2 linked regions of the Tamandua tetradactyla genome follow. The protein of the gene in region 1 interacts with the protein of each later gene in a pairwise test. Links are inferred from orthologs where the notes say so. Each region holds a gene or a part of one and is shown on either strand. Other genes may lie near its edges.

Region 1 (5,946 bases):
CCAGGTGGCGGCTCCAATCACTCCCGCCACTTCCCCAGAAGAAAGCATTAAGTGACAGGCACACTGAGGAAAAGGCAGCTCCCTACACATGAGGAGACCCTGGGGTCAGCCCCAGGTTTGAATTTCATGTCCACCATGGAGCTGCATTCTCAAACTTTCAGTGCTTTATTTCCTAATCTGTAAAAATAACCACCTCATATGGTTTCTGTGAGGGAAAAAGAGGCAATGAATTGTCCTTAGCATGGCATCCTGCATGCAGCATGCATGTAGCCACATGTTAGTTCTCCCTCGGCCCTATCCTCCCCCACCCCACCCACCCCCACCCCAGCCAGTGCTCTGTGGAAGTCACCCATTTCACTTTCTCCACCCACAGACTCACTGTCAGGCTTGGGGTCATGAGGAAGGAGCTTCTGAGCAATTTGAAAGATGGTGTCTGCTAAGCTATGAGGCCTGCAAGGACTCCAGACAGCCTACCCTGTAGCAGAGAGCAATGCACCCAAAGAAGGAAGGAAGTTTTCTCACTGGGGGAAGGAGGGCTTGTGATTACAAGCATCAGGGAGTGACTCAGCACTCAGAGGAAACCATGAGATGCTTGTCAGTCTTCACCCAGGGCCTCCTTTTGAAAACACCTTCAAGGTGGGAGAACAGCTCGGGGAACGGCAAGCCCCCTTCCACAATGAGACAAGGAAGGCTGTGTGGGAACCTCCTGAATGAATGAAGGGACAGCCAGATCCCACTCACCCCAGTCATCCAGCACATGGGCTCTGCTTCCAGCCCCAGCTCAATCACACCTGTTGCCTGGAGAGGGGAGGGAGGAGGGATAGGGAACAGGAACAGGGAGTCCATGTGGCTGATCCCCCTGGCCCCCCTGGAGTATGTCCTCAGGCCCAGTGGAAATAGAGTGGGCAGGGAAATGTGAGCCCATTAGGGAGCTGGAAATGGGGAGGGAAAAGGACACAGCCCCCCTTCCCAAAGCCAATCTCCCTTCCCAGGCCAGGCCAAGCTAGAGGTCTCCTAACTTTCTCTGGCCTCTTGACTTGAAGCCTGAGCAGAAGAACCTTAGCACTTGACCAAGAAAGGGTGTGAGAGGGATAAAGGTTGAGAGAGGGGTGTAAGGTGGGAGTAACTACCACATATTGAAGACCTACTGTGTGCTCTCTTTCAATCCTCACAACAGTGCTGTGGGATAGGTACTCAACAACTCTTAACAGATGAGGAGTCTGAGGCTTAAGAGGTCAAGTGATTATAAAGGCTATGGAGCCGAATAGTGAGCTCCTTTTGGCATAAGAGGTATTGGCATTTGATTGTCCAGATTTGAATCCTAGCGTTGCCATTATTAGCTGTATTATTCAGGGCAAATTACTTTATCTCTCTGTGCTTCCATCTCCTCTTCTTTAAAATGGAAATAAAAATACATATTTCATAAAGTCGTTGGACGATCAAGTGAATTAACATTTATAAAGTGCTTAGACAGGGACTTGTGCAAAGTAAGAACTCTGGAAATATTATTATGTTATTTAGCAGAAATTGCAACCAGGCGTAAAGAGTAGAAACTCCAATACACTGCCTCAGATCCAGCATCTTTCTTACTCATAACTCCTCCCTTTCTGAAGCCTCCTTGTCTTTACTCACAGCTGTCACCTCTCACCCTGAACAGACCCCCTCTTGCCATCTCCTCCAACTTGGCAGAGTCATCTCTGTATTACCCAGTGCTAGGAGTCCCCTACTAGTCCCCTACTCCTAGAAGACAAATCCTCAGACTCTGCTGACCTCAGTCCCAGAAAAGGGGCCCACCCACGGGCTGGCTGCTCACCCCTGAATAGCAGGTGCCTGTGGTCCAAACTAGGAGGCAGGGGTCCAGATTGAAGCAGTGTCTTTAATTTGTTCATTCATTAGAAATTTCTTATGAACCAGACACTAGAGCAGGTACTGGAACACAGTGGTAAACAAGATAGGCCCAGCACCCACCCTCATGAAACTTACAGTTTAGGCAGTAACGATAATAATAAACAAGCCATTATTATATATGAAAGGAAATTTGGCCTCGGGGGCAAACTTAGGACTTAGGAATCCAGCGATGTGATTCAGAGTTGGGAGGAGAGGGTCTTTGGGAGCCCCAGTCAGGGAGGGAGTCTCTGCTCTAAGAATCTGCTGGATGTAGCCGGTGTTTGTGTGTGTCCGTCCTCTGTGAGCACCTGAATCTGAATCTCTAATCTAGATACTAGAGGTTATTTCCAGGACTGCTTTGTTGTCTCTTGTTTTGCACAGCACAGCCTCCTCCCTCCCTCCTCCACCCCTCTAGATCTAGGCTATTTATTCCTAGTGACAAGCCTGAGGATCCCAGGGGGGGTGGCCTTAAGGACCCGGAGGGGCCCTGTGTTCCTGGCAGGCATGCAGCCCTCTCTCTTGGGCACAGGGAGGAAGCAAGCCAGAGGATCAAAAACTGGCAGGGGGGTGGGGGTTGGCAGGGTGGTGTTTGTTCTCTCACACAGGCACGCACCACCCCTCCTTCAGGGCCCCATCCACTCACCCCCCCCCCCCCCAAGAAGCTCAAAGACCGTGGGGCCAAGGATTAGGGTCTCCCCTGGGCCTCAAAGGTCAAAACTATTCCTGGGCACTGTGGAAGCAGAGGCAGGGCTTCTCCGTGCCAAACTGCAGCCTGAGGTGGGAAGGTGATTAGCTCTGATTTTGCTACTCAGAGTTGTGGGATGAAGCCCTTTAAAGGTCAGGGCCCCATAGGCGGGCCCTCTCTTCACCCCATGTTTCCAGAGAACACCTCAGTCTTGGAGTCAAAGCAGAGTCAAGACCACCCCTCCTCCAGGACAGACTCAGGCCTCCTTCACACACTTGGGCTGCAACCTCCTGGGGGTAAACTAGGGTGGGGGGGACACAAGGACTGAATGAAGACACTTTCGTCCCCAAATGGACCCTGAACTGCTGGGTCCTGTACCCCTTTTCCTGGGATTGAATACAGCAGGTCCCCGCTTGCAGTTGGGGGAATGGGATGTGGGGGGGGGGGGCGGGTAAGGAGAGAGACTAGCAAGGCTGAAAGCAGGGGGCACGGCCGGGTATTGGCTACGGTAGAAGGACTGGGAGAGTCAGGTTGGGGTGGGGGCGGGCTCAAATCTAAAGGAGCGGTGGGGGCGGGGTCTGGCCCCCGCAGCCGGGATGGGGGGCCAGGGGCGGGGTCCGCACCCCGCCAGCGGGAATGGGGGTGGGGGGAGGGCAGGGGCCGGGGGCGGGGTCCGGGCGGGGCGGGCTCCCGCGCTCACTTCCTCGGGGAGGGGTTGGGGCCGCGCTCCTACTCGCCCACAGTCCGGCTCACAGCCCACAGCCTCGCCGGCAGCTCGCTCGGTCCCTGCTCGACCCCGCGGGCAGGTAGGAGCCGCCGAGGGACGCGGCCCCGGGTTCCCGGCCCCACCCGCGCAAGCGCTGCCCCGGGCTAGGAGGTGAGCTCCGCGCCGAGCCGGCTCGGAATCCTGGCCCCTGCAGAGGGCTAAGGGCAGCTGCGGGTCCCAGCCCCCGCCCCCCGCCCAGGTCTACCGCCGTGGGCGCGTGACGAGGCGTACGCCTGGAGTGGGGGGCGCCGGGGTCTCCCAGCACCGGACCGGACAGCCTCGGACCCTCGGGCGGGGCGGGGGCTGCGGCAGGATTTGGGCGGGGGAGGGGACGAAGTTTGGAATACAAAAGCTAGGCTATAGAGAGAGACAGGGACTCTGGCCTGGGGAGACCGGGGGGGTGGGGTACGAGAAACTGAGGCTGACCGAAACCTCAGTGGAGCGAGACGCTGAGACAGAGACAGGGACACGAGCGACAGACTTAAGCTCCTGGCTGCAGACAGGGGGCTACACAGATATTCGGAATAGGAGCAGAGTCTTGGATACACAGTCAGGGAGACAGATGCGAAGCACAGGGGCAAATCTGGGTTTTGTGGAGCACTTTCACAAAAAGCACCGATATGACTCCATGAATACATTGCTAGGGCTCCTCCCAGGGCCTCGGAGGGGCCTGGGTAAGTGAGGGGTCCTGAAGCTTCAACTTCATTAGCTTATGGAAAATCGGCCTCTGCAAGGCCTACGGAGACATAGAGTAGCGATGCTAAGGGACAGAGATAGTGACTTGGATGCACAGAGACAGAAATCAGAGAAACAAGACGCTCAGCAGGATAGAGACACTGTGAGACTAAGACTTTGGTGTATAGAGATAGAAATTCAGAGCAGTAGCAGCCCCCACTCGGAGATAGCCATTTGGACATACAGTGACACCCCCCCCCCAAAACATAAAGACAATTGCTGGGAACAGAGCTAGAAAGAAAAAGGGTGAGATTTAATGGAGGCAGAAGGACGGGGGCATGCTGACAGCTTCCAAGACAGACCCTGAGATGCCAGGCCTGAAAAGATTGGAGAATCAGGATGTGGGGAAACAGAAACTGTGAGCCTACTGAACCTTCAGGAGACAGAGGACCTGACGTGGTAAGACTGAGACCAAGAAGGAGCCCGATGGACACACGCAGCCATCAAGACAGTGTGAATTATTTTTAAACTCAAATCTTGGACACGCTGCTTTAGCCCTGGGGGACCCGGGGTGAATGCACTGTTCCTCTCCTATCCCCAGGGCAGCTGCTGGATCCTGCTCCCCTCCCCTCCCCCATCCCATCCCCAAACTGCTCTGACTTCTAGGCCCCATAGGGGGAGGGGAGGGACTGGGGTGAGTTTGGGGTTGGTGCCTGGTAGCTGGGGTGGGGGGAGGAAGGGAGTTGGTTTCTCCCCTAAGTCTCCTGTCAGCTCCTGGGGGCTGGGGGAGGGCTGTGTTCTGATCCTGACTCACAGCTGTGGGGCCTGGCCAGGGCCCTCCTGGACAGTGGGGGCGAGAAGGGGGAACAGAAGGGCTGAGCAGTTGGCATGGGTAGTTGGAAAGGCCTCTGGGTGTCTTCCAGTTGCAGAGCTGGCAGCTGGGGGTTCAATGGGGAAAAGAGCCAAACTGCAGTTCTAGTGACATAGCCAGGCATCTCCTGTCCCCCTGCCCTTAAATTCTGACTACCCCGTCCACCGTCACCACAGTCCTCTCCCAAAGGGTTGGAAGGCAGGAGTGCTAGACTCTGACTACCCGAGTGACCTTGGCATGCTCCTGCCCTGGCCGTGGCCTCCTCATGCTTACCTGTAAAATGAGCTGGAGAATCTACCCGCCTGCCCTTGGGGAGATCTGATGAGATGGTGGGTGTGATGCATCTGTGGGAAGCAGAGGAGCATGCAGGTATGTTGACATGTGTCCCTGTATGAGGACTCTCACTGCAGTTAGAATGACTGGGATGGAGCCACCTCTGGCCCCACTGGTCTCTTCAGCAAACCTATGGGCCTGAGGCCTCTTCTGTTCTCCCAGAAGAACTGGGGGTTCTGTCTACATTCTCTCCCCGGGCTTACTCTGAGAATGTCAGATTTAAAAAACGAAGAACAAAAAGACGCTCAGGGAGCTTAAGTGACTTGTCCAAGGTCACCCAGTTTGTAAGTGAGGGAGCCAGGATTCAAACCCAGGTTTATGATTTCACAGCTCAAACATCTCCACACCACAAACCACAGCCCAGTATCCAGCCAGTCTGAGCTCCTGGAGTGTTACTGGGAGGTGCCAGGTGTGTGTGTCTAGGTCAGGATGTGTGTGTGTATCAGTGGGGGCAGGGGCTGACAGCCATCTGCCAGACGGAGCATTTCCCCTCAACCCCCAGCCAGGAAGGAGTACAAGGCTGACTCCCTCCACAGTCCCTGCCAGGGAAAGGGGCCAGGGGTGGGGGTGGGGGCAAGGGAGGAAGGGGGATGGGCAGAGACAGGTGGGCCTTGATAGTGCCCTTCACTCTGTCCTCACCAGAGCCCAGCTGGATTGACTAGGGGATTCTGGGAAGGAACCAAGCCACACCCATACCCTATTTGGGGTGCCCTGTCTCACAGTGGTGAC
Region 2 (5,946 bases), on another chromosome or scaffold:
GCGACGTGCAACCCACCCCTCGGAAGATGCCCGTGGACGCGGCGGCTCAGACACTCGCCCACCGCAGCCGGGAGGCGGGAGCCTCGTGGACAGCAATGGGTCCACCCGCAGACAGGGATGTTATGCAACCACAAAAAAGGCTGAGGTCCGGACAGGCAGTAGGTACAGGGGTCTCGAAGAAGGACGCTGTGAAAGTGGCCAGACCCCAAAGGCCACACACCCGATGAGTTCCTTCACTTACAGTGTCCAGAAGGGGCAAAGCCACAGAGACGGGAAGTTAGGTCAGGGGTTGCCAGGGGATGGGGAGGGGGTGCTGCTAACAGGTATGGGGGTGCTCTCCGGGGATGAGACAGTCCTGGAACTCGATAAAGGCGGTGGCTTTTACATTCGCGTCATGAATGTCCTAAGTGCCCTGAGTCGTTCACTTTAAAACAGTTCATTTTATGTGTATTTGGCCTCAGTGAGAAATTCCAATACACAGCAGGTCATGCAAATGCCATGGCACAGACAAAACACGCCATAGATTTAGTTAGAAACACGAGCAAGGCCAAAATTAGGTAGCTGGTCTGGAGGGCTTCTCGGAGGCGGTGATGGTTAGGGAGGAGCATGAAGGGCAGAGCAGGCACCCCTGGCAGATGAAGGAGAGGCTGGGAGCTGGGGGTGGACCCCGCTGTCTTGCCTGGACTCGCTGTGCCCGACAGCATGGCTGGTGAAGCTGACATCTGTGCATCTCAGCTTGCCAGCTGCAGTGACACATGCCACACGGGGGGCTCAAACCCCCAGCCTCTATGGTCTCGCGGTTTCAGAGGCTAGAAGTGCAACGCCCTTCTGTAGAGCCCCCTCTGTAGAGGCCCATGACATGGATGCAGGACCCCCAGCCCCCACCCCCGAAAGGCGTGTGCGAGACCCTGTTCACCCAGGAGCCAGATCCTTAACCGGCCCAAGCTCACAGGCATGCAACCTCACGCCTCTGCGTCTGGGCTGCTCCGTGGACTGGACACCCCAGCCCCTTGGCTGCCTGCCAGGAGCAGTCCAGGGAACCTCATGGCATGGCTGTTGGACTCCAAATGCTAGCGCTGGAGCTGGGCCTGGGACTCCCACGACTTCACGACCGCTGCATTCTGTGGGACCGAGTGGCCACAGCTCCGCCCCCCAGCTCCAAGAGGGAGGAATGGACCCCGCTTTGTGATGGGGGAGCAGCAGGAAATCGATGGCGGATCTTTGGGGAGCAGCCGCCTCACGGCATCTGCTGGAGCACGAGTCCCAGGGAGGCTTCCCAGCTTCTGCTCTGGGCACTGTCCCTGACCACATGGCCAGTCTGTTGTGGAATGGACGAATTAGGAGCTTGCCCAAATTGGGGGTGCATTTTTCTGTAGGTCCTGCTCAATTTGGAGATTCTCCAAAATAAGTTCAGAGACTGGGTTATTCAACCATCCTTCCTTCCCTTCCTCTCCTTCCCTTGCCTCTCTCTTCCTCTTTCTCCCTCCCTCTTTAGTTTTCCATTTGTGTGGATTTGTGGTGGGTTGGAGCTGTAGGCACCCTGGAAAAGCACGTTTGTAAAAGTTAATCCATTCCAGTGGGTGTGAACTGTTTGTAAGTAGGACCTTTTGATGAGACTACTTCAGTCAAGGTGTGTGCCGGGTTTGAAACTATTATGTACCCCAGAAAAGCCATGTTTTAATCCTGATCCAATCTTGAGGGGCCAGACCTATCGTTTAGGGTTTAAACTTTGATTGGATTGTTTTCATAGAGGTGTGACATGCCCAATTGTGGGTGTGGCCTTTTGCTTAGATGGAGATGTGACTCCACCCTTTCCAGGTGGGTCTTGATTCGTTTACTAGACTCCTTTAAAAGGGAAAACATTTTGGAGAAATCTCAGAGGCAGATGCTTGGGGAACAGTTTCTTCAGAGCTGACAGAGACACGGATGTTTAGAGACGCTTGGAGTGCCGACAGAGAGAGCAGATGCCTAGACACAGGCAGATCCCAGCAGACGTCACTATGTGCCTTGTGCCTTTTCATGAGATGCTAAGTAAGCCAGAACATGTGCCTTGCCACGTGACAGAGGAGCCGAGGGAAGCCAAGAGATGAAAGCCAGCCTTGCAGAAGCAACGTGAGGAACCCCACAGGAACAGAGGCTGAAAGCAGCAGAGCCCAGGAGCAAGGGGCCAGCAGATGTCAGCCATGTGGCGACCCAGCTGACAGATGTGTTTCTGACCCACCGACCTTCCTTGAATTAAGGTATTTTACCTGGATGCCTTAGTTTGGACATTTTTATAGGCTTAGAACTATAAACATGTTAACTTATTAAATTCCCCCTTTTAAAAGCCGCTCCAGTTCTGGTATATTGCATTCCAGCAGCTTCCAAACTACTGTACATGTGGATGCGACAGAGCATCCAAGCTGCAGATGGCCAGTGTGCTGGCCCTGAGGTGGTGGCCGCTGGGACTACTTGGAGGAGCGAGAGGGCCCGTGCGGGGTCTGGGGCCACGCAGGTGGGGTGGCGGCATGGACAGCGTGGGGATTGGAATGTGGGCAAAAATTGGAATGTGGCCAGAACATTCTCCGGTTGCCACAGCCACCCCGGAGCCATTTGGGTGTTGCGAGAGGAGGACGTCGGTCTGAGTGGCACATGGGGGACCAAGGGCAGGGCTCACGCAGCGGCCGCCGCACCTCCAAGGGTGTGAGTGGGTCTGACGCAGGGCGGGATGACAGTGCCCTGGGGCTCCGGGCCGCCGGGTTCGGGGTCCCGGGGCTCAAGGACCCCAAGTACCAGGACGTGGAGGATGAGGGCCCGGGATCTGAAAACCAGGAGGAGGAGGAGGAGGAGGAGGCTGTGTCCGAGGAGGACATGGGGGGAGAGTTCCTGGACACCCAGAACCCGGAAGGGGCCCTTTCGGAGCTGGAGAGGGTCCTGGAGCCCAGCTCAGACGAGGATGCTCCCGAAGTGAGGTAGGCGTGGGTGGGGGCCGGGCTGGGGGGCGCTTGGGGGTGCTTGGGAGAGGGGGAAGGGCGGACCCCATGCAAGACCACCCCACAGTCCCCCCCATGCCCCCTCCATGCCTGTGGCTTGGATCTTCTGGACGCCAGGGAGAGGTTGGTTTGTGGATTGTCTTCGAGACTCCTCCTGGGTCTCTTCCCAGGTCTTCTGGGGTTTCCAGGGGTCTCCTCCTGGGGCCTCCCCCTGAGGGTAGCCAGGTGGGGGTGGGCAGTGCCCCTCCCCAACCTTTGAGCTGAAAGTCAGCCAGCACCACCCTTGTCCTGGAGGTGACCGGAGGGCGGTAGGAAAGGCTGGGGCTGGGGTCGGGCGTCCCCGCCAGAGAGGCAAAAGGGGGAGAGAAAACATCTCCCAGATCCAAAGTTTCCCAGCGTCGCAAATTGCCCGACGCTTCAGGAGTGGTTAGGAGAAATATGTGGCAGGCGATTTGGGGGACCGATTCTGGACAGAGCTCCTTGGTGGCCCCAAAGATCTAGGCTTGTCATGTCGGGTGAGGGGTGGCGAGTCCAGCCCCAGGGTCCGGCCCCCCCGGGGGAGGAGCAGAGGCTCGTGCGAGGCCCTCCAGCTCGGCTCCCGCTGTCCCCAAGCCGGCTCTCCGCCACCCAGGAGGCGCCCCACGCCTGCAGGCCCAAGGGAAAGCGGAGGAGGAGACGGGTGCTCGAGCTGGCCAAACCCAAGACTAACTGGCAAGTCTTGAAAGACAGGTGAGGGATCTTCAGAGGTGCAGTCTCCCAGTCCCCTCGGTTTCCCCCACCCCCGTCTCCCCTCCGTCAGCACGGGGGAGCCAGGGCGCCAGGTGGGCTGGGTGGCGACCGAAGGAGCGAGAGGAGGTCCAGAGCAAAGGGCGCTGGGGCCTCGGCCCCCGTCTCCTGGCAGGATGGGCTGCACTGCCTGGATGTCCCCTTGCAAAATGACCTTGCAGTTCTCCCTCTATTGGTAAGTCTGGGGGCTCCCTCTGTTGGAGCTGCCCCCCCCCTCCAGGGCCAACGTCAGGGGAAAGGCTCCCAGTGGGTCCCTGGGCCAGTGCCGCTGTGGCCAGGCGGACTGGGCAGTTTCCTGGGTGCCAGTGTCTCTGTGCCCCAGCCTGGCTCTGGGGGCTCCCAGTGGCTGCCTTATTGTCCTTCGGTGACCGCCCCTCCCCTGTTGCCCTCCAGTTCTGCCTGCCCTTCCCATCCCCCTGTGGCCCTGCCTGCTGTCCCCCTCCACGTCTGTGTGTTCAGGGGGCACCCAAGCCTCTGTTTCAGCGCAGGGTGGCACCCCTCTGAGCCACCCCTGGCTGTATTCCAGGCCATCCGTGTACTGGACGGAGAGGTTTCTCGAGGACACCACCCTGTCGGTCACGGTGCCTGGTAAGCCCGTTGCACGTTCCAGGGTGCAGGCCGGGGGTCAGCGGGGCGGCCCGGTCCCAACCCTGGGTGCTGGTCCTGGTGGGTGGTCCTGGGCCAGGAGCTGGGGCAAGGTGCAGGGGCGGGGCTGGGGGGGGGCCGGGAGCTGGGGCAGGGGGGGTGGGGGGCAGGGGTGCTGCTCACCCCACCCCATCCTGGCCCAGCTGGGATCCCAAGACCACCTGGGAGGCCCTGAGCTCCATCCCCATCTCCCAGAGGTCTCTGCAGCCTGTTCCCTCTCCCATCTCTAGTCTCTGTCCCTCAGCTGAGGTTGCATGCCAGGAGTGAGAGTATGAGACAAACTCTCCAGCAGAAATCCGCATTTGCACCCCAGCCACACTGGGAATTAGCATTTAGTTTATAAGAAGACCCTTAGCCTCCGCTCCTATCATCATTTGCACAATTCTTTAGAGGAGTGGATCTGTTTCTTCAAATAAAATGTGCAAAGGAAGCTCATTATTGGAGAGAAGTGGCAGCATTTCCCTCTGTGGGGGCTGCACCCTCTCCCCAAAGTGAGCCCTAAGCCCAGACCAACTCCAGGCCAAGCCCGCTTCCCAGCCGGGGTCCTCGGACCCCTCTGGAACCTGTGAGGCCACCCCAGCCCTGGGACAGACTTCAGGCCTGCGAGCCTGACTCCCCCCAAGTGCGGACAGCAGACGCTGCCTACGTGCTGGGGTCCGGGGCTGGGCCGGTGGGCGGCGCACTCTTCACTTGTCTTCTGGGCTCTGAGTGACCATGGGCTCCCGTTTTGCGCAGCGGTGTCTCCTCGAGTGGAGGAGCTGTCACGACCAAAAAGGTTCTACCTGGAGTACTACAACAATAACAGGTAGGGAGCGAGCGCTGGGGGGGCTCTGGGAGGGCAGATTTGGGCAGCAGACCCCTCTTGGGTCCCCTGGCAGCGCATGGCACGGGAAAGGGCCGCCGGAGAAGCCAACCTCGAACTGGGCTTGGCCACAGCTGGACAATTGAACGACAACTCCTTTCCATCCCTTGGAACTTCCATGCCCATTAAAACTGATCCTTAGAGTTAGGTAGGCATATGTTGCGGTTTGCTAAAGCTGCCAGAATGCAAGACACCAGAGGTGGATCGGCTTTTAATAAAGGGATTTGTTTAATTAAAATTGTATAGTTCTTCCAAGGAAAGGCAACTAACTTTCATTTGAGTTTCTCTGTCCCATGGGAAGGCTCACGGCAAATGTCCGCTGACCTTCACTTCCGGCTTCTGGATTCCAGTGGTTTTCCCTCAGGCGATTCCTTTCTGCGTCTCCAAATGTCTGGGCTGAGCTGCGAGTGCTGACATGAGGGATGCTGAGCTGCTCGGGCTGTGCTGTGTTGAGCTCTCTCTTGACCTCTCTTTTAAGCCTCCAGCTAATGAAATTAAATGTCACCCATTGTGGAAGGCACTCCCCTTAGCTGAGTGTGGATAGAGGAATTTCACACACTGAATACCTACGTACAAAGACGTCATCACCTGGCCAATTTGACACCTGAACCTATCTGTCACAGCATGCATTTTAATTCCATATCTTGATGCATGCAAGAAAAGGAAGAAAGATGTGGCTGA

What was found. The genes of interacting proteins can lie anywhere in the genome.
Region 2: the proteins of FHL3 (region 1) and SPMAP2 interact in binary tests that used the Homo sapiens proteins (3 or more experiments, as listed by UniProt). The two-hybrid records come from large-scale screens. The link is inferred for Tamandua tetradactyla from reciprocal best matches to the Homo sapiens genes FHL3 and SPMAP2.

The regions. Positions count from the first base shown.
Region 1 is NC_135328.1:187,329,178-187,335,123, forward strand, and holds the start of FHL3 (four and a half LIM domains protein 3), read left to right. Parts: upstream 1-2,752; 5' UTR 2,753-2,868; intron 2,869-3,291; exon of another isoform or gene 3,292-3,449; intron 3,450-4,740; exon of another isoform or gene 4,741-5,253; intron 5,254-5,812; exon of another isoform or gene 5,813-5,946. UniProt on the Homo sapiens protein: Recruited by SOX15 to FOXK1 promoters where it acts as a transcriptional coactivator of FOXK1.
Region 2 is NC_135337.1:82,525,419-82,531,364, forward strand, and holds the start of SPMAP2 (sperm microtubule associated protein 2), read left to right. Parts: upstream 1-2,577; 5' UTR 2,578-2,631; coding exon 2,632-2,951; intron 2,952-3,584; coding exon 3,585-3,701; intron 3,702-3,873; coding exon 3,874-3,933; intron 3,934-4,284; coding exon 4,285-4,346; intron 4,347-5,138; coding exon 5,139-5,208; intron 5,209-5,946. UniProt on the Homo sapiens protein: May be involved (but not essential) in spermatogenesis.